3 linked regions of the Lonchura striata genome follow. The protein of the gene in region 3 purifies or fractionates together with the protein of the main gene of each other region. This does not show direct contact. Links are inferred from orthologs where the notes say so. Each region holds a gene or a part of one and is shown on either strand. Other genes may lie near its edges.

Region 1 (9,628 bases), on a different chromosome or scaffold from region 3:
GATGGCTTGGTAGTAATCTCCCAGCAGAGAGTGCAGACGCAGCAGCCCAACCAAGCTGAAATAGCCCAGCATCTTGTACAGGGAGTGGCGCCCATATTCACCAGCCACACTTTCAGGGTCACCTAGGGGAAAAAAAGGAACCACAATGTCATCCTCCAAGGAAGCAAGCTACCCTCACAATACTTTTCTGTTTAAAACAAAGGGAGCAAGGCCAGAAATGTAATCACTGCTACTTCTCACTTAAGGCCAACAGAACCAGTTCCCAGCCAACCCATCCACTGATTATGGGTTTGATCCAGCTCCCAAACAAAGTTAAGCAACTTGGGTCAAATCAAAGCAAGGCAGCACAGACACCAATGCTGTTTGGCACCTCCCAAAGCTCACCTCCACTTGTATAGACCTCCAGCTGTCGGTTGATGTTGGATTTGTCAACTAGAGAGTGCAGCACATTAAGGACACTGTGGACATTCCAGATCTTGGGGTTGGAACGAAGGAAATCAATTTCCTCTTCAGACTTTTTGGCTGTTTTACAGCGGTACTGGCTGAAAGACTGGAACTACAGGGAAAAGCAGAGATTCAGTGATGACAGCTTGTCTGGAGATGCTCAGGTAAGTGGACTAAGCTTTCAACTTGCTCCTACAAATGCATTACAATAAACTACAAGTTGCATGGAAAAAGAAGTTTCATGTGAGATCACATGGAAATTAAAATGGCAGATTATACCACCTTTAAAGCATCTAAAAGAATTACACAGTATAGACAGAAAAGGCCAGGAGACAATTGAAGCAGAAAAGGATCTCTGAAACAACTAGGAAAGGCAATTAAACACAAATTTGCTGTCTCAACAGATAGAAAAGAGAATGACCAAATTACAATATGTGTTTGCATGCATGCATCTTTTCCCTTATATGTACACATCCTTTTTGTTCTCAAGATTGACAAGACAACACTTTCAGGCAGATCTATAATAAAAAGTTACAGAAAAGGGAATATATTCTTAGAAGAGAAAAATCAATAGCATTTGAGATCTGTACTGTTGTACTCTGAACAGTAAGTGGAAAAACATTTCTTAATGTCAAGACCTCAGACCACAGCTTATTTCAAATCAGATCATCAATCTCTCAGTGCACACATAAGGGCCGTACTAAGAAAGACAGAAATTTTGTTCTGAAAGACAAATAGGCACAAAAGCTCAGAACTCCCCAAAGAGCACCCTGTAACTTAAAAATCTGTACAACTTCTTCATCCACCTGGCAACACGAGAGTAACGGTGATCACCAAAGATTTTCAACTTGCAATGGTACCCTTGCTATGGAAATAATGGGAAGAAATGGAAAATTTATATAACTAATAAAGGAAAAGACACCCCAAAATGGCCCAGTTTTATAATCACATACCTGGTATATGAATTCATCAATGATATCCCAGAGCCACTGGTTGGGCAGTTCCAGAGGAGCAGGGCCATCAGCATCTGCAGGAGAACAGATGAGAGGGTTAACACCTTCAGCAAGAACACTGTCAGAACTGGAGGAATAGTCAAATTAAACAACACAAGAATTTCCTTGAAATGGGAGTGGGGCAGCAGATGAACGAAACTTTCAGTAGGGCTGAGATGCAGCTTTGACTACCTCGACTGCCTTCACTTTCAAAGACTATGAACATGCACAGGGTTAATCTCTAGATTGTGACTGCTCAGCAGCATCAGCTCTCAGAAGCTGCACAGACTGCAGGGGTTTATCCCAACTGATCCATTCTCCACATGAGGCTTTGCAGGGAGTCACAAACACTAACATTTGGTCCAAGGGGAGTCAACAACAGTAAACAGTTATGAAGTTTTCCTTACTGTAAGTTTTCATTTTACTTTTTAATACAGATAGGTGAAGCAGTTCTCAGCAAGAAAGAAAGCTAAGTAAGTTTTATTCTTTACAGTATTTCAGAAAGCACTGGAAACTAATTCTGCTTTTTGTGGTTTTAAATTCATGGATTTAAATTGCTCTTCATTCAACTCAAACATGCAAAGAGCTTATATCTTTCCCTCTATTACTTATAAAGAAACATGTTGCTGTTCTTCTGACCCTTTGTCCAGCTCTGTCCTCTCCATCTGATCTTTCTCTCCAAAACTCACAAACCAGAAATTAATTGCAGCAACTCACTGAGAATGTAGTTGAAGAGATTGCAGTAATTGTAATAAGACTCAAATCTCTGCTCCAGCGTGGGCCCCCCCTGCAAAGAGAAGTCAGCAGAGTCTGCTTCAAATCAAGCAGGGCAGGAGGGAGTTCATGGGCAACAGCATAAGGACAGTCACAACAGTAGAGGGTCTGGTTCAGGAGTGCTAGAGCCAGTATTCAACCAGGACACCCACCAGCATCGCCCAGAAAACCTGTAATTGTAGCACTGCTGTCCCACAAAATAGGGATGGCTTTTCCTGTATAGGCAGATTCTCCCAGGATATCAAGCAGTCAAACATCCTGTGAATATTCTGCATTAACCTTCCCTGCTCCCCTCTGCTGTTCAGATTCAAGAACTTCACTATTCCTTCACCAGCTTTCCTTCCTTCTCTGCTCATGAGAAGCCTTAATAGATGAACAATTCTGTTTCTGGACATAATTCCTAGACACTTGACCTACTGGTTCTTGTTTCAGCTGGAGACACTGAGTCTGAAAACCACTAATGGCACAGCTTGAGAAACCAGTTTCTCCTGCTGAAGTTTGGCTTGGGCACACAGCAGGCTTTTAAAAGTGTCCATTTCTCCACCCTCTGGTCTACAATAAAACTGCAGTTATTACTTATTTACCCAAAAGTCATGCATCTGTTGAGACTTTTTCCTTTAAGAACCAAGTACTATGACTTTCTCATTGATTAAAGAGACTTAGAAATAGGCTTAAAAAAGACAAAGTTTGTTTCGTTTCACAGAGCACTATTCTTTTCATTTCCTTCTTCTCCATCCTTCATGGTATCCATGTTTCCCTTTTCATAAGGCACTCTGATCCCATATGAGGATTTTTATGACAAATAATGCACCTTCCTCTTGTGACACCCCTTCTCACTGCCTGCTCATTTGAAGAGGAAAAACAAAGAAACACACATAAGCAAAAAAAAAGGAAAATTCAGTTACCTTCCAACACCCCCTTATTCCCTAACTCACTAACCATTACATTTGCTGTTAGAAACAAAGAGCCTCCTGAACACTCAGATCCAGTCTCCTGATTCATCTGAGCTACCACAGAAACCAGCACACTCATCACCACCAAGCCTGAAGAGACAGCTAATGAGCCTCAAACAGACAATCAAGTCTTTCTTGCTTTTCAGCAGTCAGTGAATCCTTACTAAACTACCAAAAGCAAAAATTTTAATCTTCCCTAAAATCAGTGTGACTTACAGCTCATGAACCCATCCAATCCTGCCTTGCAAAGGTTAGGGGACCACTGATACTGTAGGGCAGCAAGACTTGTCAAGTTTGCTGGCACAGAGAAGCCAGCAAGCAGCCCACAAGAAGACACAGGGCCAACACTCACGCTGACTTTGGCGTAGATGTGCCTGTAGTACAGCTCCTTGTATAGGATCAGGAAAACTGCATCTGGAAAAGACAACATAAGAGGACATTAGCAAGCCACAAGGCCTAGAAGCCTTCTGCCAGAACAACGAAAGGAAGCACAAAAAGACGCTTCACTCAAGTCTGACTTCTTGCCAGGCATCTGCTGAAAGAGCTGCCAGAGTGAACAAAGGCGACCGACTCAGGCAGCAACAACGCTGTGCACCTGATAACTCAGGGTCAGGAGAAATTCAGTTCCTTCTCTCTCTGACAACCCAACAGAAAGTGGAAAGACTCACCATTTCCAACCTGAGGAGCAATGGCCTCAGCCTCTGGCCATGGAGTGTTCTTAAAAAACCTTTCTGTCAGTTTTGTCCAGCTGAAAAACAGACACACATGAGGTATGAAAATCCACGTTTCACTCAGTATGACAGTGCTGGAGTCAGAGATGACAACAGAGAGAGGCCTTGGACTTGATGAAAGCTGAGCAGCACCACCAACCCCTGCTAGTAAATCCAATGTTGAAGCATACCATGAGAATCACAAGCTGAGCAGTAAGATTGCAATTTATCTCCCAGGCATGAAACAGACATGTACGTCACTTCCACACTCCCTTTAAGTCAAGCTGCCCCAGCTACAAGCAGGAGTGGAAGCAACCGTTTGGAAGAGACACAAAAGCTGTACCTCAGGTTTTTGCAAACTGCCAGACTAACACCACTGAGAGCCCTCTTTGCAGCCTCCCTCCCTGTTAGGCCAGGGCTGACACTTCCCTTCAGACAAATCACAACTCGTCTATACTCACATTGGCCTAATGGGCTGGTAATACCAACGAATTTTTTTTCACAGTTACCAAACAAAACCCGTTTCAGAGAAAGCCCAAGTTCGGAACAGCACAGGTAGCAGCCTTCCCTTTTAACAGCATCACAAGTTAAAACAGTGATTTCCATCTGTTGGAAGTACCTGTTCTCATAAATGTCCTGGATCTCGTACACCTTCTGGTCAATAACATCACTGGAAACGCGGCTGGCCTGGAGCTCATACACCTTCTGGTCAATGAGATCTGACACCGTCTTGTGAAAATACTGAATGAAGTTTTTGATCACTTCGGGGATCACCTGGTAGGTCTGCTGTTCGTACTGGCGCTCGTAGGCCAGGTCTTGCTTGGGGTCTCCTGCGGAGAAGGAGGAGCAGTGAGGCAGCGCCGCACGGCCCGGCCGGGGCGCAGGCAGGCGCGGGGCGCTCACACTCACCCGTGTGCATGTCATAGTCGTTGGAGTAGGCGTAGGGGTCGTAGGCAGCCTGTGGGGAGAGGGCGGCAGTGAGTCCCCGCGAACCCGGCCCCGAGCCCCGCGCCCCCCAGGCCCGCGGCCCGCACCTCGGTGTCGTAGTCCTCCCCCGGGTAGGCCATGGCGGCGGCGCGGCGCGGACAGCGCTGCGGGCGGAAACGCGGGCCTGGCGCGGGGGCGGGGCGAAGGGCCGAGCGGAGCCCTTCTACTGGCCACAGCAAGTGCCTGTCTTCACCCGGGCGGGCCGGCCGCCCCTCTCTGTCTGACTGGGGAAGGCAGCTGCCCGTCAGGCTCTCTGGCCCCTGCCCGCCGCGCCTCCCCGCCCGCTCCCTGCCCATTGGCTGCACCGCGGGCTGTGCCGCCGGTGGCGTCCCGCCCCTGCCGGCCCGGCCGTGACGGGATGGAGGGCGGCGGGGCTGGCGGGGCGCCCGCCGCGGGGCCGGACTCGGAGCCGGGGCCGGACTCGGAGGCACAGCCGCAGCCGCGCATCGCGCTGCCGCCGCTCGGAGCGGACGCACCCCTCGGTTACCTGCACGTCCTGTGGCAGCGGGAGGAGCCCGCGGGCAAGATCCCGGCCCGCCGCCTGCGCAGGGCCGCCCGCCTCCACCGGCGGCTGGGCCCGACGGGCAAGGAGGCGCACGGTGAGCGGCGGCGGGGAGCCGCTGTCCCGCGGCCGAACAGCCGCTCTGCGGCCCGCCCCGCTCGGGCCGCGGCAGGCAGGGAGGGAAGGGAGGGCGGGCGGCTCTGTTCCGTGCCCGTCCCTGCCGGGGGAAGGCGCCCGTCGGGAGCGGGCGGGCCCGCAGCCCGCTTCGGCAGGAGACAGGAGAACCATTCTATATCCTGCTGTCCTGATCTGCTTCCCATTCTCTGGAGCCGGTAGCAGCCTGATTTGGCCCCCCGCGTGTGCTCGAACACCGGGGTGGAACGTGTCTGTAGGGAAACGTGCCTTTTCCCTCTGTACTTTCCAGTAATTGCTTTCTTTCCTCCATAGCTCTGAAAAGGCTGCGTGAAGCTGCCAATAGCAACGATTTGGACACAGGTAAGGCTTCTGTCAGTCCCACTTGGGACCTCTTCTTGGAAGGGCATTATCTCAAAGGCTCTTACTCCAGGAGAGGAGGAAGTGGATGCAGATAGTTTGTGGTCAGGGTGCTTTAGATGCTTCAGATGTAGAAAAGGCTTTTTTAAAATCCAGGTTTGTTCTCCAAGCAGAGTGTGGCTGGTTATTGTTTTCACTTTTTCATTGCACCTGGTTCATAGTGTTAGTTTTCCATCTGCCTGGGCCTAAATCAACGCTGTACTGTCCCAGCTGTTTTGGTATGTTCTTTTGCCCAGTTGTTAGCAGCAAGAGAATAATGTTTTGATTTAGGTGAAAAAGTTATGATTACCTAAGCCATACACTGTATGATGAGGCAGTGTGACCCAGTAGATTAGAACCAGGGCCAGAGCTGGACTCTCCTAGTTTCTGCAAAATTCCCTTGTGATCCATAAATTCTGCTTTCCAGATGTCCAACCTCAACACTACATCTTTGTCTCTCAGGCTTTGTTAATTGAAGCATATCAGAGTTAGTTTATCAAAACTTAAAGTCTTAGTAAATTTTGCAATCTGTGCTCCTACAAAATGAACTTAATGACAACTTTGCTAGATGCTGGCTAAGAGTAATAAAAGAATAACACACAATTTATAATGAATTAATATTTATTGATTATGACTAAACAATCTAATTAAAAGGTAATTAAAAACATTAGCTAAAATTACTAAAAAGTTCTGACATTTCCAAAAATTTCCCCCTTTGGAAGTGATCTTAATTTTCCTTTATGATTACTTGCACTTAAATTGTTGAATATCTAGCAAAACTTAAGACATCAAGATGCAAAAAATTTGCTTGTATTTTGTTATAAGATATCATAGATCATTAATTCCGAATGAAATTCTAAATCGGGGTATTATCTCTTTTAACAATATCTTGGTAACTTCTCTTGCTTTGTTGGTGCAAGTAGCTATCCAAAAAATGTGTCAGCTAAAACCAATATGTATCAATATCCTTCTTGTCGAGGTAATTCAGAAAAATCTGTTTGCCTATAAACTCCAGGACAGTTTTCTCTTTTTATAATCCCTAAAGGAGGTCTTTTGTAGGGCTGTGGATTGTGTTGCAAACATATACACTTACTGACTACACTTTTAATTCCTGGTATTTTTACACTAATTGCTTGATGTTTCAAGTTGTCTCTCATAGCTTCTGCTCCCCAGTGTGTTTCTCTGTGTTTATCTTTTCCTGCTTCTCTCATCACTGCTTGAGGTACTATGTTGTTCCATTTCTCTTTCTTTTGGCAATATAATATCAACTCTAAAATACCATTTTGGTGTCAAATACCATGAACTGACCATTTTCCTTGATTATCTAATAGATACTCTAGCCACCAGAGAATACATTATGCTATTACCAGTTAAAGAATTGCTTTTAAATTCTTTCCAGTGCTGCAAAATGCAACCTAAAGGCAAACATTTGCGTATACCCCTCTTCCCGGGCTCGAGAAGAAAAAGGAAAGCCCACAGTAAATAGAAATTCCAGCAATGACAAAAACACGACACGAGAGAGCGCTCTGTGCACACCAACATAACCCCAGTCAGCTAGGAGGAGCAGCCGCTGTTCTAACGCCAGGAGAGGGCTCTGAGCAAAGGACCCTCGCTTTAACAATTTACATTACCCAAAACCAAACACTTAGTACACACCAAGTACACTAAAATTCACAGTCAACATACAATGGCTTAAACACTCTTACAGCCAATGAGTTTTCATACAGACTCAATTTATGCTTATGACACACGTTAACACACACATTTTCCAACACTAACAGATACCATAGGCTTCAATAAGCAGACATATCTGGGCAAAGCCCTTCCACAACGTGGCTCTTCATGCAAGCAGCACTGTCTGACTAATTTATGGGCAAAGCAGAGGGTGAAGACTCAACACCTTTTGACTGTCACTTATATAGTTTTACAATTAGAGTTTTCCAACTAGACAGTGGGACTCAAACACAATTCCATTAATATTCACTTACAGAGTTTTACACTAACTTTAATAGAAAATAGCCAATTATATATCATAACTTTCTTAACTCTTATTATGTTAGAGAGTGCAAGCTTATGATTAGGTATACCTTTTTAAACCTTCAGTAATGTCTTAATAAACTCCCAGGATTTTTTGCCTTGAACTTGCCTGGATCAGAGGATTGAACATTTTCCCTGAAAAAAGTCTTTCAGTGTGCACCAAAGTCCTTGTTCCTGTAAGTCTGTGGAACATCAAATGCGTTGTCTCACCTGGGTCACCAGTAAATTGTTACTAAATCCTTCTAAATTGTTGGGGTAAATAAACCCCTCTAACATTTTCTTTATAGTGTTAGTGCGTAAGATGTTACGTTGTTGCTGGCCAGGAGGGATTTTTGTGGCTCACAAAATTCTGACCTCCACTCAGACTCAGATATAAAACTTCTTCACTTATTTATATTTTTTAGCAAACAAATAAATGAATGTTCATTGGTTGTAAATTGCATAATTCTCTTCTATTAATTAGTACGGTGTCCTCTGTGGGGTATTGATTTCTTGCTTCTCATGCTAGCTGGTCTATATTTTTAGTCTTTTTAGTATCTTTCTCCTCTGGTAGGGACTTTCCAACACATACACTGAGTTGGAAAGTCTTTGTTAGTCCCTTATTTATCTTCTGGTTTCTGCACAGTCCTTGTGGTCCATAAATTCTACATTCTAGATGTCCAACCTCAACCATACATCTTTCTCAGGTTTTGTTCATTGAAGCATGTCAGAGTTAGTTTATCAAAAGTTAAAGTTCCAGTAGTTTCCCCAAGCTATGTTCCTACAAAAGTACATTATGACAGCTTTGCTAAATACTGGCTAAGAATAATTTAAGAATCACACACTGTTTATAATTGTATATATAGATTATGATTTACTAGAGCTATTAATTTAAAAGTTAATTAAAATCACTAACTAAAATTATTAAAAAGTTATATCATTTCCAACAGGGAGATGAAAGAATGCAGTTTTATGTAAGTCTTGGTTTCAATCCACCTTAGATTTGATAGACAGTTTCCCATGTTTACAGTCCTCTTGTGTTTTGTTTTCTCTGCAGCTTGAGGAAGTGTGCAATGATTAATTTATTTTTCAGCAACAAGTAAACATCTTTGCTGTTTCCTGTGGTGGCACTGGGTGGAGAGGTTATGTCATTCCTACTTGGTTCAGGGGAAGAGTAGCTAAAGTGTTCCAGTTAATGGTTCTCACTGGGGCACTGTCAGTCTTCCATTCTTTCTTCTGAAGTGTCAAACATCCCATGTTAATGCCACTTCCATCATTTTAGGTGTTCTTGTCAGTTCTGTACCACACTTGAAGTAGGATGTGTACAGGAAGAAATTCAGAGGTGGCTGTAATTCAGTTTCTGGAAGCTGAGATGAATGGTGACTTTCAGTGGCCTGAAACAGTCTTGACTGTTGTAGGATATGCTGTTTGAAGATTTCAAAACACTGTGAACCTGTCAGCATTTTTAACAGCTATGGAATGAGCTCTTATTTTACACACCAGATAGTATATCAGATGATCTCAAAACAACAGAAGTAGCAGCCCTTACAGATGCCTCTAATACATATTGCTGTAGGTGCTATTTTTATGCCCCTAATCTTTCCACCCTTTACTGATCTCTTTGCTCAGCTCTTGGCAAGTTGGTACATTCCCCTGCTTGCTTCCCAAACTGTGGCCACCATTGGTTAGGAAGGGGCATAATCAAAACAGGTGTGAAGA
Region 2 (9,947 bases), on a different chromosome or scaffold from region 3:
ATGACTTGAATAGTCCTCCTTTCTGGGCTGCTCTTCTTAAGACTGAATATTGTCATAACAGTTCCCAATTCCAAGGTCCTTTTGATCTGGCTTTTCTCATACTCAGGCAGCACTCCATAGTCTATAGTCTTTCTGGGCATCTTTTCTTTATAATCAAACTTTTATGGTCTTCAGTGTCCTGATGAGAAAAAAATATAAGGAAGAAAAGGGAGAAAATTCAATATTTAAAACAGCATTTTGATTTCTTTAAAGATCACATTTAATGTAGTTAGATACCTAACACAGACTCCTGCCCATGCAAATGCAAGGCAGGTACCTGGCCAACATTAACTCTTGCTGGTTTATCCTGAAAGGAGATACAAACAGTCTTCACAGAGGGCAGTTCCAGCAACATCAGCGTGTGTAAACTCTTGCACTGTATTAGAATTAGATGAGATCTACATAAGAATGTAAAGCAGGTAACTGTCCTTTTGAGAACTGTAATGAAGGGAAAACATGAGTAATACAAACATTGAAGTGCTGGCAACATCTAAACATCAGTTTTTGCACTTTTAAAACTTCATGGCTCGGTTTCTCCTACACAGTCTGCCTTTTCTCACCCACATGTTGGGTGGCAGATATTTGTGTGCATACACTTGGGACACATCTTGGAACAAACCAGCCAAAAGAAAGATGTGTTCAGAGCAAATCTCACAAATATTAGCAAGTTTCTGTGCTCTCTGGTCTCCCAGATTACTGCATCAAACAGCTAATTACAAGCCTGATTACTCCTCAGTGAGATTACTTACAAACAGGATGGTCTGCAACCTGCTCTGTCACCCATAGTATCACTGTCACACAAGTCGCAGGGATTGCTGCCACACAGCTCCCAGCCATCCCCCTTACCCGGTCCCTGAGCAGGACACGTTTAAAGCAGCTCTGTGCATGCTGCCCCCAGCCACGGCGTCTCCTCTGCTTCTCTTCCTCTCTCCTCAGGTCACTGCTCTCCATCACAAGCAGTTTCAGTTTCCGTGTTCATGGCTAATTCGACCGTGGCACTTCTCGCTTCCCCTTCGTGACTTCTGCCAGCCCTGGCCCCCTCACCCCGTGTCGCTGTCTCCTGACTCCTCTTTGCTGCTCCCTCTCACTAGCAGCGCTCAATTGCCTTTTACCATCGTGTCACAGCTGCTTTAGGAGCAATCGTCCTGACTTTGAAGCTGTCCGGTGCAATCTTTCCAATCCCTTCTTGAATTCTACCACTTCAAATAAACACTTTTTTTTTTTTTTTGCAAGTTAACAGAGAAGCCACGGAAGTCCTTTCTTACCTCTACACTGCCAACCGTGAGCTTGAAGTGCTCTACAGCAGGAACCACTCCATAGTTTACAAAACATACACATAATCTGGTGTTTTATATTGTCTTATTACAGTAAAGAAAAAAATGGAGTATTCTTCCCTTATACTATTTAAAAAATTTATGTACCCCAATCCTATAGCTGGGAGGGAGTGAACAACTTGGAAATACTCTAACAGCAGATTTATTGTTTACTTTTAGCCATAATGTAACTGATCCTTTTAGACTACCTGAAGATAATCAAGTAATCATTTAAATTATGCCAGGCCTACACCTAAAAAAACATCCACGGTCATCTTGCTACAATGACTTGTTAAGATAAGAAATGAAAGGAGAGAAAAATAAAAAATGAAATTAAAATCTTTGAACAGTGTCTGTTTTCTAACAAAAAAATAATAGAAACCCTGTCTTCTCACTTTGCTCTTTTCATTAAGAATCATAATAAAACAAATATGCTGTGATCTGTGACAAGGATTAAGCATTTGTGCAGTGCTACACTGAATAACAGAAAACTGAACTTTTAAATTAGTATAGTTTTTCAAGAGATGATAAAAAAACATGTGGAGTTGCGCGGCAAAAACATACATCAGCTCTGCCTTTTACAGTACAAAGTACAGCTGTTAAATGAAATATGATTCAGAAAAACACGAAAAGAAGTTTCTAAATACAGCTGTTTAATAAAGGGCAACACAGTAGGTTTTCTGAGAGATAACTCCCTTAGTAACTCCCTTAGTACAAAGGAACTGCCTCTCAGAGGTGGCTTCTTAAACCGTTTCTACTGAATATAATAGACTGGACTTCCCCTTTTAAAGGAGTTCTTTCTCCCCAAACCAGAGACAACAGTGGATTTAATCTAACTTCTAAATCACAAGCCAACTTTTTGACTTAAGGTGGAAAGAATATTGCAATATATGATCAATCTAACTGGCCACTCCTAGAGACTGTTTTGGCTACCTGCTCCACTTTAAGAGTAACATCACATGAAGCTGCCTAATAGTAAAAGAACTAACAGAAGTCCTTGGCTTTAGACCTTCACACACCAGGAGCTGTCTTACACTCACCCACAGGTGCCCCTCAGCCTTCCTGACACCCATCACTGCACAGCTATTTGAATTAACAGCCTTTCTACCCATTCATGCAGCAGAATTCTGTGATGACCTTCATCAGCTGCTACCTGGATGCCTCTAACCCAGCAGAGTGTGAACTACGAGATGCTGTGTGGAACAGAAGCATCACTGATCTTCTGCTGAAAAGTTACTGAAGCCTTACTTGGAAAGATCCAGCATCACTTACAGGACTCAGCAAGCGAGTTAATAATCATCAAAATATGCCACAAGCTTCAGCTTAGACAAAGCCATGACACTTTCCCTTTGACTGTAGGAACTACAGGAGGTAAATTTTGAAGGTGTCCTGTACCATATGCAAAACTTGGATGATTTGTTACTGTTTAATACCTGTTCTGATAGGTTTTAATTGAAAAGCCTGACTAATTCAAACTAAAAAGTCTAAAAGACACAAAGCAAGTAACCAAGTGAACACAGACATTAAAAAAAAAACCCACCAAAAAATCCAAATTTATTTAATCTACCCTGTCTACTTAGTTTTACTTCATTTACTTCAGACTTTAACAAGCAAACCCTTCTTGGCAAAAGATCAGTGTACAGTTCATAACTCTCTTCATGATAACACAGAGAGGAAAATCTAGAAAAGGAAAGCTATAAACACAGCAGCTAGCAAAGAATAGCTCAGATAACCACTGATGGGTCTGTTATAATTTTACCAACATGACACAGCAGGTGCTTTCCAGACACAGAAAGTTAACCAAGAAGTGCAGTCCAAAGTTTGTCTCCAGTCAATTTCTAAATTTTCCCATGTGCTCTGGCCATTGCAAAAGTTTTGTTGCATCCTCTGCCAGGAGCTCTTCCTTTGGGTTTAGGACATCACCTCGCCAGCCGGACGGGCACCAGTGACAGCAGCGCAGTACCACAGCAGTGATAATTATTAACAATGGATGCACAGCCCTTGTGCTGCAGCTGCGGCCCGGCGGGGCGAGCAGGGGAGCGGTCAGACGGTGCCACCTGCCCGGGCAGGCCGGGCCCTCACCGGGCAGAGCCGCGCTGCCCTCGGGCACCGCCGAGGCTTCCTTCCTTCCTCTCCCTCACCCCGGGCTGCGGCGGGGCCGCCTCAGGGAGCCCCTCGTCCCCTCCTCCAGCCCAAGCGCGACTGGCACGACTGTCCCTCACCCTCCGCCGCAGCCCGACCCGCGCATCCCCCGCCTGCCCTCCCCGAGCCTCCCTCACCCGGACTCGCCGCTCCGCCCCAGCCCCGCGGCACCTGCTGCTGCTGCCGCGGGGCCGCCCTCACCTGCGCGGCCGCGGGGCTCCGTGCGGCGGCAGGGCGCTGCCGTCCCTGCCCTGCCGTCCCTGCCGTCCCGCTGCTCCCGCGGCGCCTCTCGGCTCCGCTTCTGCCGTCACCGGGAAGGGGCGGCGCCACCTGGCCCCGCGGCCGCCCGCGCGCCCGTGGCTGCCCCGGGGGCTGCCCTCAGCCCTCGGGCACCGGCCCTGCCCTCCCGCGCCCTCCGCAGCGCCGAAGCGGGGCCGGGACTGCTGGGACTCCTCGCCCCGTCCCTCTGCCCGTCCCGGGGCTGCTGTCCGGGCCCCCGGCTGCCGCTGTCCCGCAGGGCCCCCTGAGGCGCGGTCCCCTCCGCCAGGGCGGCTGTCCCGCCGCTCGGAGCTGGGGTTCTGCTCGTCTGAGGAGGGTGGTTGAGCCGTAGGAAAAGGCTGGGCGGATTCACTGTCGCTGAAATGATCTCAAAGTCAAGTTAAAACTGACTCCCAGTGATCCGCTACGATTGTATCGCACGTCAGTTTAGGAGTGGCAGTGCTAAAAGTGTTTCCCAGACTGGGACTCAGAAGAATAGTGGTAGGAGGACACCCTGCTTGCAGGTCAAGCCCTGGTACAACCATTCCTTGATGTATCGGTCTTGCCCCAGACCAATTTGATAAATCTGGGGGAAATTCCTACACCCACAGGCATGAAGACAAGGTCATCAAAGGGAGCAAGTCATGCCAGTTCAGCAGACACCAAAACAAATGCCCAGAGACCAAAGCTAGGGATGCCACAGCATTTTGAGGGAAGATCTTGGTCATTTCTGAAAGGGCTGTGCCATGTTACAATGGCAGGTCCTGTATTCCAAATGCTGATTCCCAAACACTGATGTTAAGTTTCATGGAGATAATTCTTCATCTCCTCTCCCTCCAATACTGGTGACTGGCACAAGGGAGTGAAAAGCATAGGTCTTTTAACAGATTAATTTACTCTGTTGAGAGGGAAAAAAGTTTTCCATAATTTTAGTCAGCATTATAAATAGTTGAATAGTAATCAAACATTGATATTTTCACCCTATACTTGCAGAAACTACTGAAACAAAATGATATTGGCAATGATGTTCTGCACCAAATGCCACCAAAAATATTCCCTAGCTTCTTCTCCCTACACAGAAGGAGAAGAAAATGTCAAGTGTGTCCAGCTCTTGTGTAGGAGCAATTTGGGAAGCTCTTCCCAAATCAAACTAACAAGCTTTTATCATGCTCAAAAGTACCAAAGGGTTTCAAATAAGTATGACCTATCAAAAAAGAACTAAAGAACACACTCAAAATATATCACCACAAAAGGAAGAAACCCAATACCTGGGAAAGGTGTGGTTCATTTCAAATGCAAAACAAAAAGATGATCATTGCAATCTTATCACTGTTTGCTATTCTGTGAATATTTTTCACATCTTTCCAGAAGTCTAACCTGGGAAAAGTTTCTCTATTTATAACGTGCAACTCCATTACAAATCACAGAACAGCATCTAACAGGAACCATGGCAGTAAATTAGTGAGAATAGAAGAATATGTATTAATCACACCATGGTGTCTCTGCCATACATTATTTTTAGCTCTTCATTTTTAAAGTCTTCAATGTTTCATGTTGAAGCTGCCTTTGAAATTATGTGAGCAGTGGCAAAAAGCAAGAACCAAGCAGCCAATTTCCCCAGCTGCAGAAGTTAATAGCCAAACATTCATCCACACCAGAGAGCTGAAGGGTGCAGGTGATCCTGGGCATTTAGCAAGCAGGAGATGGCAGTATTCACTTCATGTCAGCTGTCAGATCCAGGAGTCATCTGGGTCCATTGAGAGTGAATCCAAGTTCCAGCAAATACCAGCCCCAGCAGCCCCTCCTGGTTCTGCTTCGCTTGGACAGGTACCAACAGCCTCCTCACCAGTCATATGGCACAGCTTCAGCACAGGAACCACCCTTGAACAACCCAGAAGCCACACAGGCACAGAGCTGCTCATCTTTATGGTATTTAAAGCTGTGCTGCAGAAGTTAAAACACTGCTGCAAAGATAAACTTAGGTCTGAACATACTTGTGGTTGTGCCTCATTGGTGTTTTGGAAGGACAAAAAAACCTGCCCATTCCCAGCATTTCTTGTATGACCTTAATCTTACCTGATAAAATGCTCTTAAAGCTGAAGATTCATTATATAGCCAGAGAAAATATGTATGTTGAAGAGAGTCATAACACTGAATCCTGTAAATTGTTGGATGTAACAAAATCTCAGATGGAGCAAGGAATCCTTAAACCCAAAACAATAAAAGAGTAACTCTTACAAACACCAGCTGTTACTCAGCACATTCACTACACCCAAAATAAGAATATTCAGACTTCCACACAATCCCAACAGATTTGAGTTATTATCAGAATCAGCAGCTCTGCTGTCCAACTACCAAACCTCAAAAGTGAGAACTTCCAGGCAGACAACATAATTACCTGTAAGGATTATGGATCTCATAGTCACAGATAATTATCAGGTGACATCTCCAGTCCCTTTTTGTAGGAAAAAAAAAAAGCCTGTAGAGCTTTTTTTCTCTGAGGAAATATATGCTGACAACAGGTGTGGGAAAATTAGGTCTCTGAGTTGTAGAATCTGCCCCAGCAAAGCCTGTGTGTTTAAAAAGAAGAAGGTTAACCACTAGAATAAAATCTTCCTTCCTTCCTTTATTCTTTTTTCTTTTCAGTTTAACTTCCTTCCTAAAATTTTTAAAGACCCCTTAAATTGTTAAAATATCACTATTTATACTGAAAAGCGAGTTTTTCAACTAGGAGTATAGTTTTATATTTTGGTCATAAATCCCTCAGAAAGGGAATTTATAGTGTTCATGCTAACACTCTCTTAATTACAGCATTGAAAAGTTCAACCCTGTCTTATATTTGGGAATGAAGTGTTGATTGCTTCCCCTGAAGAATAAAGCAAGGCATGAAAGAGAAGCACAGGACTGGCTAGGCAGTCTCGTGGATATAATAAATAATGGTCACAAAACTGGTGCCACTTCCTCACAGGAGATACAAAGAAAAAACAGCTTTTGTGCAGAAGACAGATGTTGAAAATCTTTACCCCATCAATTGTAAAAAATGTTAAAGAGTGATTAGGCAGGAGGAACAAATAGTTTAGAGACTGCCACAGACATTTTGTAGCCAAAGGATTTACTAACCACCAGAGTCTCTGCACTCCTTAGCAGGATGTATGTTAGCTCAGCTAGATTTTCTGGTTAGAGCTGCAAAACTATAACCACATGTTTCATAAAGAAAACTTAATTTTTAAGGTTTGCCTTTATGAACTTTTCATCTGCAGGACTCAAGCTGATTTTAAACCTGTCAAGAGAACTCTCATACTTAAGGCTGAGTAGCAACAACTGCTGTAGTATGGAGGGAGGAGGGGAAGGATGTCCCCAAAGCAGTCCTCTGCCACCTGAGTTCCTCATGGCAATAGCTTCAGCTACTCTGGGAAGCCTTGATCATCTTTACTGGCTCAAAGGACCTTTGCAGCATGAAGCTGACCTTTGAGAGCAATGTCCAGCTGTAGTAGCACAATTAAAATAGTGAGTTTTACAGATCCACCTTCAACACCATCACAGAGTGTGACAGAGAGGTCCAACACCCCCAGCACATCTTCTCAGCATAACAGAACTCAGGCTCCTTGAAGACAATCTCTTGTAGAAAGTGTTTTAGTGTATACTTGGCTCCATTCTTATCAGAGTTGCATTTTAATCTTGGTAAATTATTGTCACTTAATCATAATATTTAAAGTAAATATTGACTTAAACTACTAAGGTCACTAGCAAAAAAGCTGACATGAAGGAAGGGAGGTTGTACTTATAAGTGGCTGGCCTGTTGCCTGCTGAAATGTTTATCTGAGTCCTCAAAAGCTGAGCTACTCCTCAGTTCAGTTACCCTGTCTCTTATTTGCAAGATCTGCATTTAAAAAATCTTCTGAGGAGTTTCTGCCCACTGGCCTCATACACAAAATACAGTGCTGTCCCTTACAATTTCTGTAACAATTTGCATTTGTAGATGTCAAAACAATTTTAAAAAATAATGGAAATCATTATATCACATTTTCAAAGGCACCAGGCCCAGAGGGTGAGGAGGTTTGCCAAAGATCTCACAGCAGTTACATGCCTTGGGCAGAACATTGCTTCCAGGTTTTATCCTAATGTCCTGACTTTGGAATGGCATTTCCTCATAGCAAAGCTCGTTGTGCCAGAAGAAACCTTTTCATTTGTCAGAGTTATACTTTCAAAAGTCTCAGTCAAGTGAAAACTCTGCTGTGTGGTTTGGGATGCTCAATAAAAACCTTTTAAAAAACACATGTGAAAATATTTGAAATAAGTGTCAAAGAGCATTTTTTTAGACACACACTAACGAGTTATTTACTCAGCACCTTGAGACAGCTTTGACCACAGAAAACACCAGTACGTTTAAAAAGGGCCTGCAATCCCACCTTCAGATGAATATATTGCAGTCACTACATCCACAGTGATAAAATGCCAGCAGCTCATTACCAGTACTATCAACGAGTTGATACCATTGTTACAAGGCCTCAGCAGAAAAGGAAAACTGCACAAGACTCTGCAGGGAACCAGAGACATTTTTCTCCTGTGCTTTTTAAGCCAATTACATTAAAATCTTTCATAAAAATAATATGCTTTTGAGTGGGAAGGACTGAAAAAAAACACAATTTGACAATAGTTTCAAATTAAGTGAGTTGTAACTCAGCAAGAAACAGTCCAGTTCTCCCCCCAGGTAACTTTCAGCCTTTCATTTTTTTCCCACTACAGAGTAGCACCACGGGTGAGTTGAGGAGAGAAAAGGCTCTGTTACCATCTGTTCAGCCTCCTGCCCTCACTCATTATCCCTGTAAGCCTGGAGAGGTTTAGGAAAGGGATCTTCAGGCAGGCTGGGCACAAGGAGCAGGGCTGACCTCAGCCTTCAGCTCTGAGCCTGTCCCAGGGGGACTCAGTGTGAGCAGAACACCACCGAGGCTTCTTTCTCTCCATGGTCATTTTCCTTTTTCCGACCATTCTGCTGAATCCTTCTTAACATTGCTCTCGCTACTGCCGGTGGAAGCTTTTCTGGGATCATAAAATAGAGATAGGCCAGGTCTTTCTCTACTTTCTACATGGCTGATTGCAGGGATTTATTATTGTGCAAGGCCTTCCCTCAGGGCACACAGGAAGGGAGGAGAAGTTCCTTGCATCTGTGCTCACTCATGCATAGATCAGCTTTAATCTGACACATGCTACATCAGAAAAGTTTAGAAAAGCCCTCTAGTTAATCAAAGCACAAGAATTCTCTGGGGATGGCAAGAGCACACTGGTCCTAATGCAGATAAGCATGTTGTCATGTAAAAACACGTGTCAAAATGCCACTAAAATCAAAATATGATTGAACAATTAATGATATCCTTGAGTGATGTTTTCTGAATAGGGATAGAATGAGAGATACTCTACAGGGATACACCTCCCAGATGCCTGTGCCTTGGAAAAGCATCCATCTGGTTATATCTCCAGGATCAGCATATTTGTATAGAATGCAAATCACTCCTGCAACTGCTGTTATCTTTCTGCACTGTAGTCATAACTGAGTGACTCACGTAAAAGGGTCAAAACCTTCTGTTCCACTTTTTGTGATAAGCATCTTTTCAACAAGCAGTGTTAGAGATCCTGTGTGCCAACAGAGATCCTGTGTGCCAACAGATCGAGGTAGGAGCTGGTACAGGGTGATCTACAACCATGATCTTTAATAAGAGATTTCTGAGTATCCTGAGGAGCAAATTTACCTTTGTAGCTTCATAAGAGCCTTGGTTTAGAGGAGCAAGAACAATTTTTCAGGCAGATATCAACAACCTCATATGGCTGCTGATCTCAGATAGATACGTGTGTGTGTATGTGTGTGTGTGTGTGTATAAAAATGAATATAGATAGAATCCTATTATTTCACTTATCATATTAAAAAATAATCCTTTCACATCTCCAAAGATTGTATTTGTGAAAAACTCAGAAACTACACCATATGTTTGTAAACATCAATCACTAACATTTGACTGAGAATCTGAATTTAGACACTCTCTGAGATGCTTTAAAAAGAGACACAAGATTTTAATTCTACAGAGAAAAAACAACAAAAAACAACCAACTTTCTTTCTGTGGATAATTTCTACCACACTCTTCATTTAACAGGAGACAATGTCTAGAATAAAGAACCTAGCAAAGTGAATTTACAAGTGC
Region 3 (9,930 bases):
AGAGCTGCTTCTCATAAACCCTGTGAAAAAAGGAGAGGGATTTGATAACTTCAATTGGTATAAATTTTTTACTCAGTGGTACCAGCTGTGACTTCATTAACTCAATGTCCAGAGGTTACCTGATGCTCTGTGCTGTTCCAAAGGAAAATGAAAGCTGCATGTGGTCCATGGGTGCTTCATACAGCTGTGTGGCTGTGATCAGCAATGGGATTACCTGCCCACTGCTACTGCAGCTGTTCAAGGGCAGCCTGAGCACTGCGCTGCCCTTGCACGGCAGCAGTGCTAACAATGGGCCAGTGCCTTTCCACGGGGAAATTTTCTGTAGCAAGTAGCTGATCCTGGAAAAGGAAAGCTACTCTTCAACAACAGCCCACTGTGAAAAAGCCTCCAGAAACAATATGTTGCTTCTGAACTGGCAATTTCTGTGGTGCAGGACCTGCAAGACACAGGCTGAATGCTTGTCCAGGCTGGCAATAGGAGGTGCAATGCCCTGAATATAAGGCAGAAACAAAACAAGCAAACAAAAATATCCCCACTGTGTGATCTTGCTAATTTGAAATGATCACACATACCTGTTCCTGGATTAGCTCAAATCTGTTCTTTCAGGCAATTCAATATTAGTGATCACAGAACTGTGTACTAAATTAAGCATTAATTAAACACATTCTTTATTAGTGTGGGCAGTCTCTTCAGATTAATAAGGATATCTGTAAATGGCCACAAATGTTTAAAAGAGGAAGACTCTTGGAGTCACTAGTTGTCAGCTCAACCTTCTCATTGCCTACCCAAATGAATTGTGAAGAACACATCAGTCCAGCTGCTTTTCTTGCCTCTGTAGGATGATATTCTTGAGAACCACAACAACCTTTTATTTGAGCAGTCATTTCTACAGAAAGGCAATTGGGATATTCTGTAGTGCACATAGGCCAGTTTCAACTTCCATCAGAATACTCAGGATGCTGTCCCACCAACACAACCTAGTTCAATGCAGATGGTTGTCAAACTGGCTTCCAGTGTTGGGCCTGCTTTTATTCCCTAAATAGCAATTTTTCCACTCACAGCCATTAAACAAGTGGAAACAAAATGGGAAATATGTCTATGTATAAAACCACATAATGGCAGGTGAATAAAATATTTAAATCAGCAAAGATGCAGAAGAAGCAGCTTTTACTAACTTTCAGAATTAGAGGATCTCAAGCCAAGAGGATCTCAAGCCAAGTATCTGCTGTATTATTATGAGTTGTTCATGGAAACTGGAAGTAACAAGATGAAATAAAAAAGGCTGAATTCAGGATTTATGGCCAGAAAATATCAGTGTAATAAAATGCAAGTGGCTGTGCTTTAGGCAGATCACTGTCTACAGGAAAGATGCCAGCTTTCCCAGCTTTAGCCTAGTTAGTATGTGTATTGTTAGTCTGAACAACAAGTCAAATGAATGTTGAGTCAAAGTTTATAAGGATTTGTGCATTATTCCCCAAAATGTTTTTAATATTTTCTAAAATTTTAATCACAAAATTAGTCAAGATTGTAAATTATTGTGTGATATATTTCAAATAATCATAATGGAACTACATTTAAAACTAAGATTTTGGTTTTTTGTTTGAATTTCTCTTTAGTGTCACAAAACTTAATTTTCCCAGGCTCCAAACTGGAAATAAGAGCAGAAACTGATAAATATCCACATATAAGGTCCATTAACTTGTTATCTCATACTTGATAATAAAATTTATTTTCTATTTTTTTTTTTAACAAACAAAAGCAACCCATCATTAGGACATGAAGGGCATATTTAGAATAAAATTTATACATATTCTACTTATAGGTCAACATTACTTTCTTTAAAATAGTAGGTTACAATAAGAAAGGAAATTATTAAAAAAAATAATGCTAAAGAATATACTGCTTTTATTTTCTCCAGTAACTCTGAGTGAAGAATGACTGCATGACTTGTATCTCATTTTTTTTAAATCCACTCTTTATTACTTGCTAAAAATTTGCTACATTATTATAAAGCATTTTGACAGTATGCAATTTACTTAATGATAATGTCTTGAGATAAAATTATGAGAGAAACAGTACAAGTAGTGACTGTGTAAGTGCTGGAATTTCTAAAGAAAAGACATTTTACTGTGTCTGCTGTGACTCCAAAACTCTGGCTCATACAAAACAGCCAGATGTCTAAATGTTTCAGCTTTACATGTGTCCATGCTCTATCTTTCCTTCCTCTTTTATAAAGAACTTAAATTCTTACAAATCTATTTTTGAACAAAGTGATATTTCCTCTGTTTTTTCTTTAATTGAGTGAACTCAAGTATTCCTTGGGATCTCCCACTAATTATTTCCCTGGTTATGCCATTTATGCTTTACTGTCTATTTTTTAGTCTTCTATTAATGCTCTGCTTTTGTATTCAAGCATACCGCAGAAAGAACTCAGCAACAATGAGATTAAGGAATATATAAAATGTAGAGAGAAGTTTGTTGCCTGTTTTCATTGTCCATGACAAAGTTTAGTTTACTGCCCAGAGTCACTGTTCCCTGCAGCTTGTGCCTCTTCATGCCCCCAGACACAATCCAAATAGGGATCAGCACAGGTATGTAGAGGGATTGGTGTGAACCCTACAAGGCTCATTAAATCACTGCCCAACCAAATATCATTGGACATTCCTCTGAGTCTACTGACAAATTGCTCGACTCTTCCCTGGCCCAGACCACTTACCACTCTCAAAAAATATTCCAGAGCTGATCTGAAAGTTAACGTGGTGCTGTGGTTTAGCTTCAGCTGGCAACTGAGCACCAGGCAGCTGCTCACTCAGTGCTGCTTTCCCAATGGGGTAGGGAGGAGACCTGGAAAAAGGTAAAAACTCAGGGGTTGGGATAAGAACAGTTTAATAATTGAAACAAAGTAAAAAAGAATAGTAGTAGTAGTAGAAGTAGCACTACTACTACTACTAATAATAATAATAGTAATGAAAAGGAGAGTGAGGGGGGGGGGGGAATAAAACCCAAGAGAAACCAAGTGTTTTCCAACAGAGTTTCTCACCACCCACTACTCGGTGCCCAGCCCACCCCCAAAATATGACCAGCTCCCTCCTGGCCAACTTCCCCAGTATATAATAATATATATGATATATTTAAATATGACAGGATATGGAATATGACAGGTATGGAACATCCCTTTAGCCAGTTCAGGTCAGCGCCATCCTGGTTTCTGGTGTACCTGCTCACTGTCACAGTATGGAAAACTAAAAAGGCTTTGACTTAGTGAAAGCATAAACAACTAAACTACAGTGTGTTACCAACATTATTCTCATACTAAATCCAAAACACTGCACTGCACCAGCTAATAAGAAGAAACTGAGCTCTATCCCAGCAGAAACCAGGACACATGGGCCATTCTGGGGTCGTCCCCATGTTCTGGATGCCAACAGCATGGACGTGGACCCCTACATTGCCAGCTGGCCTTCATATTGGATCACAGCCTTGCAGCCATGCTTAAATCAGCAGTAGAGACATTGTCTGGGAGTCAGATCTTTCCAAAGTGGGAAATCAATTGCTGGGCTTGAACTGGCTGGCTAATGTGACTCACAGTCCTTCCTGCAAGGACTTCCCCTTCAGTGACAGGCTTGAGGTTTCATTCTTGCCCCATTTTACACCATCCCCCAACTCTCTTGATCTATGCACATGTACATTTAAAATGTGATGAACAGCTGACCTACTGTAGATGTAGTGAGGCTGGAATCAGCTTTTTTTTCCCTTTTGATGAATATATAATGAGAGACTTCCTTTCCTGCTTACACTTTCTAAAGTAGATTTTGTATATATTTGTAACAGTGGGAACAATGATACATAAACCCATGACATTTCAAGGGATACTAACAACCTGTCTTTTTAAAAAAAGTATAAAGCACAGTGTATTTATTCTACTCTAACACTTCTTCATATTAGTTCCTTTAGGGCAAACCTGATGAGTTTGTTCTGTCTCACAATTTACTATTGCACAGCAATCTATTAAAGGTAATTCAGCACGTCTTTTATTTTTCCAGATTATTTACATTATAGATAGGATTGCATTCTACTTGACTGCTGGAATCTATTATGCATTTATGAAACTAAATTTTATTTTCACCAATGCTTTGTTAGGAGAAGGGAATATTAAACTCAGCAGAATACTTGATAATGAAATGAAGATATAAAGAGGAAAGGAGGGCGAGCAAGACAGATGTGGGATTTGTGCACTACTTCTCCAAGAAGAAAGTTACAAGATCAAAATGCTTGTCCTATAGAGGAAAATGGAAACATGAGGCACTAACTGTGCACTTCAGAAATAGCTCATTTTACATAAACTTTTGGAATCCAAATTTCCTACCAAAAAGAAATCCCCAAACCCAAGACAATGTATATTTAGTCAGATCTTTCATTTTTACATAAAGTTTTCATTGGGAAAAAGGTTGTTGTCTGGTCTGTTCATTTTATTGTTGTTTTTTCTTATTGTTATTGTTATTATGAAATATCTTTACCTAAGTTGGGGCAGGGGAGAAAACATTTACCAATTTTTTACTTAAAAATTGGTAAATGTTTTCTCCCCTCCTTGAGGAATTCCTTATTGTCTCACCCTACAATACTTTTAGAGGTTGGTCTAATGCTGAGTATTTCCACATTATTTTAAACATTGATGATAAAATTCAAAGAAGACCAGAAACTATTGCCCACTACTTTTCAGAGCTCTAGAGATGCCCAGGGACATCTGGGACTGATTAAGAAATGTGACAAACTATGGTCTCACTGCTTCTATGGACTGAGTCTTCTAGAGGATCAAGGCAGACACCTGTGTGCTGGAGCCAGGGTATCAGACGGGACTGCAGCAAACACCAACCAGTGTGCAGTGATTGTGCCAGCTGCACATCACCAGGAGTGCCAGGCCTTTACATCAGCACCAAAGATCTATAAGTTAATTGACATGAATCGGGTTCTCCTCATGAACCCAACAGGGTGTGACCCGCACTGAGCTATTTTCAGCTATTTGGGTGTCCTGTTAGAAGTCCTCACCAGTTCCTGAGTCCACTCCAACCCACAGTTAGGCTGTGCTGGTGGACTTTGGGAATGTGTACAGAGGTGCCTTTGAGTGTCTTGCATCTTGTAACACTTTGACTCTTTCTCAAACTCGATCCATTATCTAAACACTTCTATATGGAAAGCTTAAATGCTTTTCATTTGAAATTCTGCCTTGGAAATCTCCATGACCTGAACTCGCCCATGTGGCTTGGCAGTACACACATGACACTTGACTCTAGTTATTGTAAAGCTTTTCACCTGCATCCTCTGGCTGTTATGTCCATGCATTCATATTTCCTGTTTTCCTGACCTGTGAGATTTTTATTTCACTTTTCACCAGGCTAGTAAATCATTCTTGAAATAAAATGAAACATTGAAAGATAAGCTTACTTGTTTTGTTTCTCTCAACCAAGCCTCCAATTGACCTTAGAAGCTACTTAGAGTGGATTTGTGGAGTTCAAATGGTTTTTTGGCTGTTGGTGGAACAAGAGAGCTTTTTTTTTGCCTATCAGACTAACAGAGTTTTATTTTGCTGTAACTTTCCGAGGCTCATGATGGCTCGCTCCCCTCTGAGGCAGCTCGGCGGGGCGGACCCCCGACACTCCGCCGCAGCCCCTGCCCCACCTCGTCCCCGGCACAGCCTCCAGCCGGAGGAGCCGCAGCCGCCGGGCCGGGGCCGGCCCCCGCTCTGCCGCTCGCCCGCTGTCCACCACATGCAAACGCTGCCCGGCAGCAGGAAGTACCCGGGCTGCGAGCCTCCCGCGGCCGCGCCCCGCCCGCGCCGCGACAGCCGCGCTCCGGCCCCGCCGCTGGCGCCCGGGACAGCCCGCTCCGCGCCCCGCTCCGCGCCCCGCGCTTCGCTCGCTGCCGCGCAGCTTGCGCACCCGGCAAAGTAAGTGCCTTCCCCCGGGAAAGTAAGTAAGTGCCTTCCCCCGGGACAGTGAGTGCCTTCCCCCGGGACAGTGAGTGCCTTCCCCCGGGACAGTGAGTGCCTTCCCCCGGGAGCGGCGGTGCCCAGCGCCCCGCTTCTCCCGCGGGGCTGCCCGGCCGCGCTGCCCCGCGCCCCCGCCCCGCCCCGCCCCGGCGCGGAGCGGAGCGGAGCGGCGGGACCAGGCGCTTGCCGGGCGGCTCTCCCTCGCTTCTGCCCCCGCAAGGAGGTGCCGCTGCCTCTCGACCTGCCCGGTAGGACTGGATGGGGTCTTAAGGGAAATAACCGCGTTTGGGATAAAATAATCGTTCTCAAAAGCATGATTTATCTCATACTCCTTTGCCTGGCTTCTGCTGTGATCCGGAGGGCTCGGGTGCCTTCTGGCTGTTTCGTGCCGGGGAGCGTGTGAAATTACCCGGTTTAAGTCCGCAGTCGGCGTTTCGAGCCAAAACGATAGCCTTGACTGAGGTGAGGTGATGTGATCTCTGGGTATCCCTTCTTACGCTGCTTTTTTTCGAGGAGCATAATTTATCGTGCATTCTGCAAGTTAAAGCTTCTTCTTCTTAAGTGTCTATTCAAATGTGCTTGGAATTAAAAGATGAGGAAATGGTGTTGTGATGCTTGGTGTGCAGTGTTTCTTGCAGACTGCTATTATAGGTACTGTATTCCTAAGGAACAGTCTTGAAGTGTTTTCTCCTTACAATTTTAGTTTAGGAGGTGATGCTGTACCTTCAGTAAAGCAGTTAAGAGTTTCTGTTAAATTACATCTTTCAAGTGTTTGCAGTGAATGAGTTGGCACAAACTCATCTTGCTGCCTTGCTCCCCTCTGTTGGCAATAAAGACCAAAGGGATTAACGCTTAAAACTTATTTAGCCAGGTCATATTCCCGCGGATATACATAGGAAGAACAAAGCTAAGCTTTATCTGAAACCTCTAGTCAATATCCCATCTTCTGCCTTTCGTTCCCACCTTTGAAGAAAGAGAAACACTCTGGACAATCTTAATGTATTTTAGGACATCACAGTACAAATTGAAAATTAAAATTTTTAATCTGGATCCCATCAAGTACCTGTATGACTTTTGCAATTTAGGAATAGTAATGTTAATTGAAAGTATCTGTGAAGTACAAGTGCCACGTGGATAAGTCTGCACTCAACACAGTATCACTATAGAGTTAAAACAAAAAGCAGAAGATACGTGTTGAGAAATTGCAAAGCTATGTTGGGAAAACATAGCTCAATTTTACCAAAAGGAGAGTCAAATTGTGTTTGTGTCGATAGTTTCCAACCCAACACTGAGGACAGAATAGGTGTTATCTTTTTAATACAGACTATCAACAGCATTGAAAGTATGGATGAGAAAAAAATCAAATCGTTTTCTCTGAAAAAGTAGCAACAGGCTAGAAATCAGTTAGATACTGTTAAAAGGATGTTATGAAGCCTTAGAGAAGGGTTGAAATTAATGAACTGTGAGATCAAAAGATGTCTTGTTTTATGGATCTCTTCTGAGATTTAAAGCTTTTTCCTTTCTCTGTTTCAACTTTGTGAGATACAGACTAGTTAGGAAAGAATTCTTTACTTAATAACATAAAAATCTGTTTTAATTGTGTGCTGTTCTGATAGATTTTTTTTTTAACCATGATGACATAGAATGATTATCCTTGTACAGTAGCTGGCTCACTTCAAGTTATTCAGCTTTTCTCCATTTTTGAGTAAATAAGAGGTTTTTCTTACAGAAATGTACAGAAGACATGGTAAGGTTTAGGCCTTCCTTTTTAAGCCCCTTGACCCTTGAGTTGTGCAATGACTCTGACAAAGCAATCAATTGTGAAACTTTACAATGCAAAGTTAAACCCTGTTGCCTTTAAGTTGTTCAATACTATGGGGTTTAATGTTACCCTTTTCAAGAGAGTTTCCATAAATGTGAAACTATTCCTTGCAGGTGATTATGAACAGGTATTTATGAATGTACAAGTAACTATTTCATAGTACTTTCCCCCCGCCCAGTTTATCTGTGTAATTGAAGTGACCTCTCTTCCTATGGCATTTTTGACTCCTATAAGCTAAATGGCATCACAGAGCAGCAGGTGTTGAGGGAAACAATTCCTGTGACAGGCAATGGAAACAAGTCCAAGGTCTCCTGGCTCAGCTTAGTTCTGTTCTTCAGTGAGTTGTCTCACCAAATCAGAGATGCTACACCTGGCCCTTCTTGTGGGGCACGTCAGGGAGCATCATTGGCCTCTCTGTAGTTATTTGGGAAAGTTTAAGTGATGCCATATTTAATCTCAGATGTGATTCCATTGCTGTCACAAAAAGGAGATGTTTGCCTACCTCTACTCTGAATGTTATTTTGAATCTTAATAGGAATCTTTGAGATTTTGGGATGAACACATGTTGATCAGAAGGCAATTTTATTTTGTTCAAAGGGCTAGGTGATCTGGGAAGGGGATGAGATCTTTCCTCCTTTCCATATGTGCATATCCTGAGTAACTGAGTGACAGTTTTTTCTTCTGTCTAAGGAGTTGTAAAACCATTTTTACTCTTGGGGTTCAGGGAGCCCTTTTCAAAACTGAGTGAACCCCGAAGATAAGTTCATGGGGAATAACTAACTAACTAACTTACCTAACTAATTAATGGGGTGGGCATTAGGTATAACCTAGGATTCCTGGCAATCTGCTGTACACAGAGGGGGATGTCTCATGGCACAGAGATCTCAGAAGAATATGAGCCATCATGTGCTAATGCAAGGGATGGGAGGAGAATCTGTCAGCTGGGGATCCTGAGAGTTCTGTGAGCTTTATATGCAGGGAACGATACTTCCTTTCAAAGCTATGGAGCCAAGTGTGTAAGTAATTACACCAAACCATGTGATCTGTTAAGCAGCATTTGTTATAATATTGCCTCTGTAGGATTTCCGTCTCTAAGCAAAAAGGCTTCATTCTATAGAAAAAACAGTTTCCCAGCTGAGAATTAGGATTTTTGTCCTGTTGTTCATATTCCTACTTCCTATTTCTCCCATTTATTTCTCTCCCTTCTTTAATGAGAGTATAGGAATGCTAGAGATGGTGTAATAAGAAAAGCTTCCAGACTTGCTAAGCCATGCCACAGGAAACTGTAGATAAAAATGTAAAATTACATTTGTATGAAAACAGTCTTTAATGACGCATGCAGGGTGAAGGAGTCTGCCACCCTGTAAGCAATAATGGTGCCTTCTCAAATAAATTAGCCTGTACTAATAAAAGACAAATGCAATGTCACTGTCCTCAGTGTGACTGTTCCTAGTTTAAACTTCATTGTCCTTCAGGGAAGGATGGAAAGGTCTGTGCCTTCATATTTATTTTTGCCTGATTCAGATACATTTCCTGTTGACATTGTCATTAAATGCTGTAATTTCCGAGACTGAATTATTCACGTTTGAGTTCAGCATCTTTCCTGAAAAATGTGGGTTCATGGAACAAAACACGAACGCAGAACTCATCATGTGCTGGAAGCATTTCCTCCAAATATTTATGGGATACTTGTATTTGCTTTGTGCCTTAAAAAACTACTCATAGAGGTAAATAGATCAGTTACTTTTGTCAGGCAAATGTCAGAAGAGAAATGGTATTTTGACAGTAACACTTTGCTGGAGAGAAAATAAAGGAGGACACTGGGGGAAGGTGGAGGAAATAATGGGTAGATCTCATTTCTCTGGTGGGTTAGAAGAGTGGACTAGTTCTGTCCAGGCCAGCCTTTGGTCTCCCTTAAGTCAGCATTGCCTATTTTTTTCAAACTGCTGGCATCTTATGTATCTACAATTGGTTCCTGTGTTTGCACAGCACACTTGTCTTACGTCTTCAGTTCAAAGGACTCCAATGATAAACAGTCTCAACAAAGTGAACTTCTTCCTCTATGGTCTCTGCTGCATGTGGCAGAAGGTTTCTTCTTCCTGTGGTTGACATATTATAGAAT

The links.
Region 1: the proteins of LYN (region 3) and ANKRD54 purify together in Homo sapiens (affinity purification with mass spectrometry; 3 studies listed by BioGRID and IntAct, with this or other methods). This does not show direct contact. The link is inferred for Lonchura striata from reciprocal best matches to the Homo sapiens genes LYN and ANKRD54.
Region 2: the proteins of LYN (region 3) and PLCG2 purify together in Homo sapiens (affinity purification with western blotting; 3 studies listed by BioGRID, with this or other methods). This does not show direct contact. The link is inferred for Lonchura striata from reciprocal best matches to the Homo sapiens genes LYN and PLCG2.

Annotation. Positions count from the first base shown.
Region 1 is NC_134607.1:23,541,182-23,550,809, reverse strand, and holds the start of ANKRD54 (ankyrin repeat domain-containing protein 54), read left to right. Parts: upstream 1-5,211; 5' UTR 5,212-5,218; coding exon 5,219-5,459; intron 5,460-5,809; coding exon 5,810-5,857; intron 5,858-9,628. Other genes in the region: EIF3L (eukaryotic translation initiation factor 3 subunit L), read right to left, coding at 1-122, 385-556, 1,398-1,471, 2,154-2,223, 3,516-3,577, 3,832-3,911, 4,493-4,703, 4,783-4,831 and 1 more. UniProt on the Homo sapiens protein: Plays an important role in regulating intracellular signaling events associated with erythroid terminal differentiation.
Region 2 is NC_134615.1:19,329,300-19,339,246, reverse strand, and holds the start of PLCG2 (1-phosphatidylinositol 4,5-bisphosphate phosphodiesterase gamma-2), read right to left. Parts: upstream 3,765-9,947; 5' UTR 3,696-3,764; intron 179-3,695; 5' UTR 141-178; coding exon 1-140. UniProt on the Homo sapiens protein: The production of the second messenger molecules diacylglycerol (DAG) and inositol 1,4,5-trisphosphate (IP3) is mediated by activated phosphatidylinositol-specific phospholipase C enzymes. It is a crucial enzyme in transmembrane signaling.
Region 3 is NC_134603.1:39,097,834-39,107,763, reverse strand, and holds the start of LYN (tyrosine-protein kinase Lyn), read left to right. Parts: upstream 1-5,846; 5' UTR 5,847-5,944; intron 5,945-6,144; exon of another isoform or gene 6,145-6,234; intron 6,235-6,395; exon of another isoform or gene 6,396-6,521; intron 6,522-9,930. UniProt on the Homo sapiens protein: Non-receptor tyrosine-protein kinase that transmits signals from cell surface receptors and plays an important role in the regulation of innate and adaptive immune responses, hematopoiesis, responses to growth factors and cytokines, integrin signaling, but also responses to DNA damage and genotoxic agents.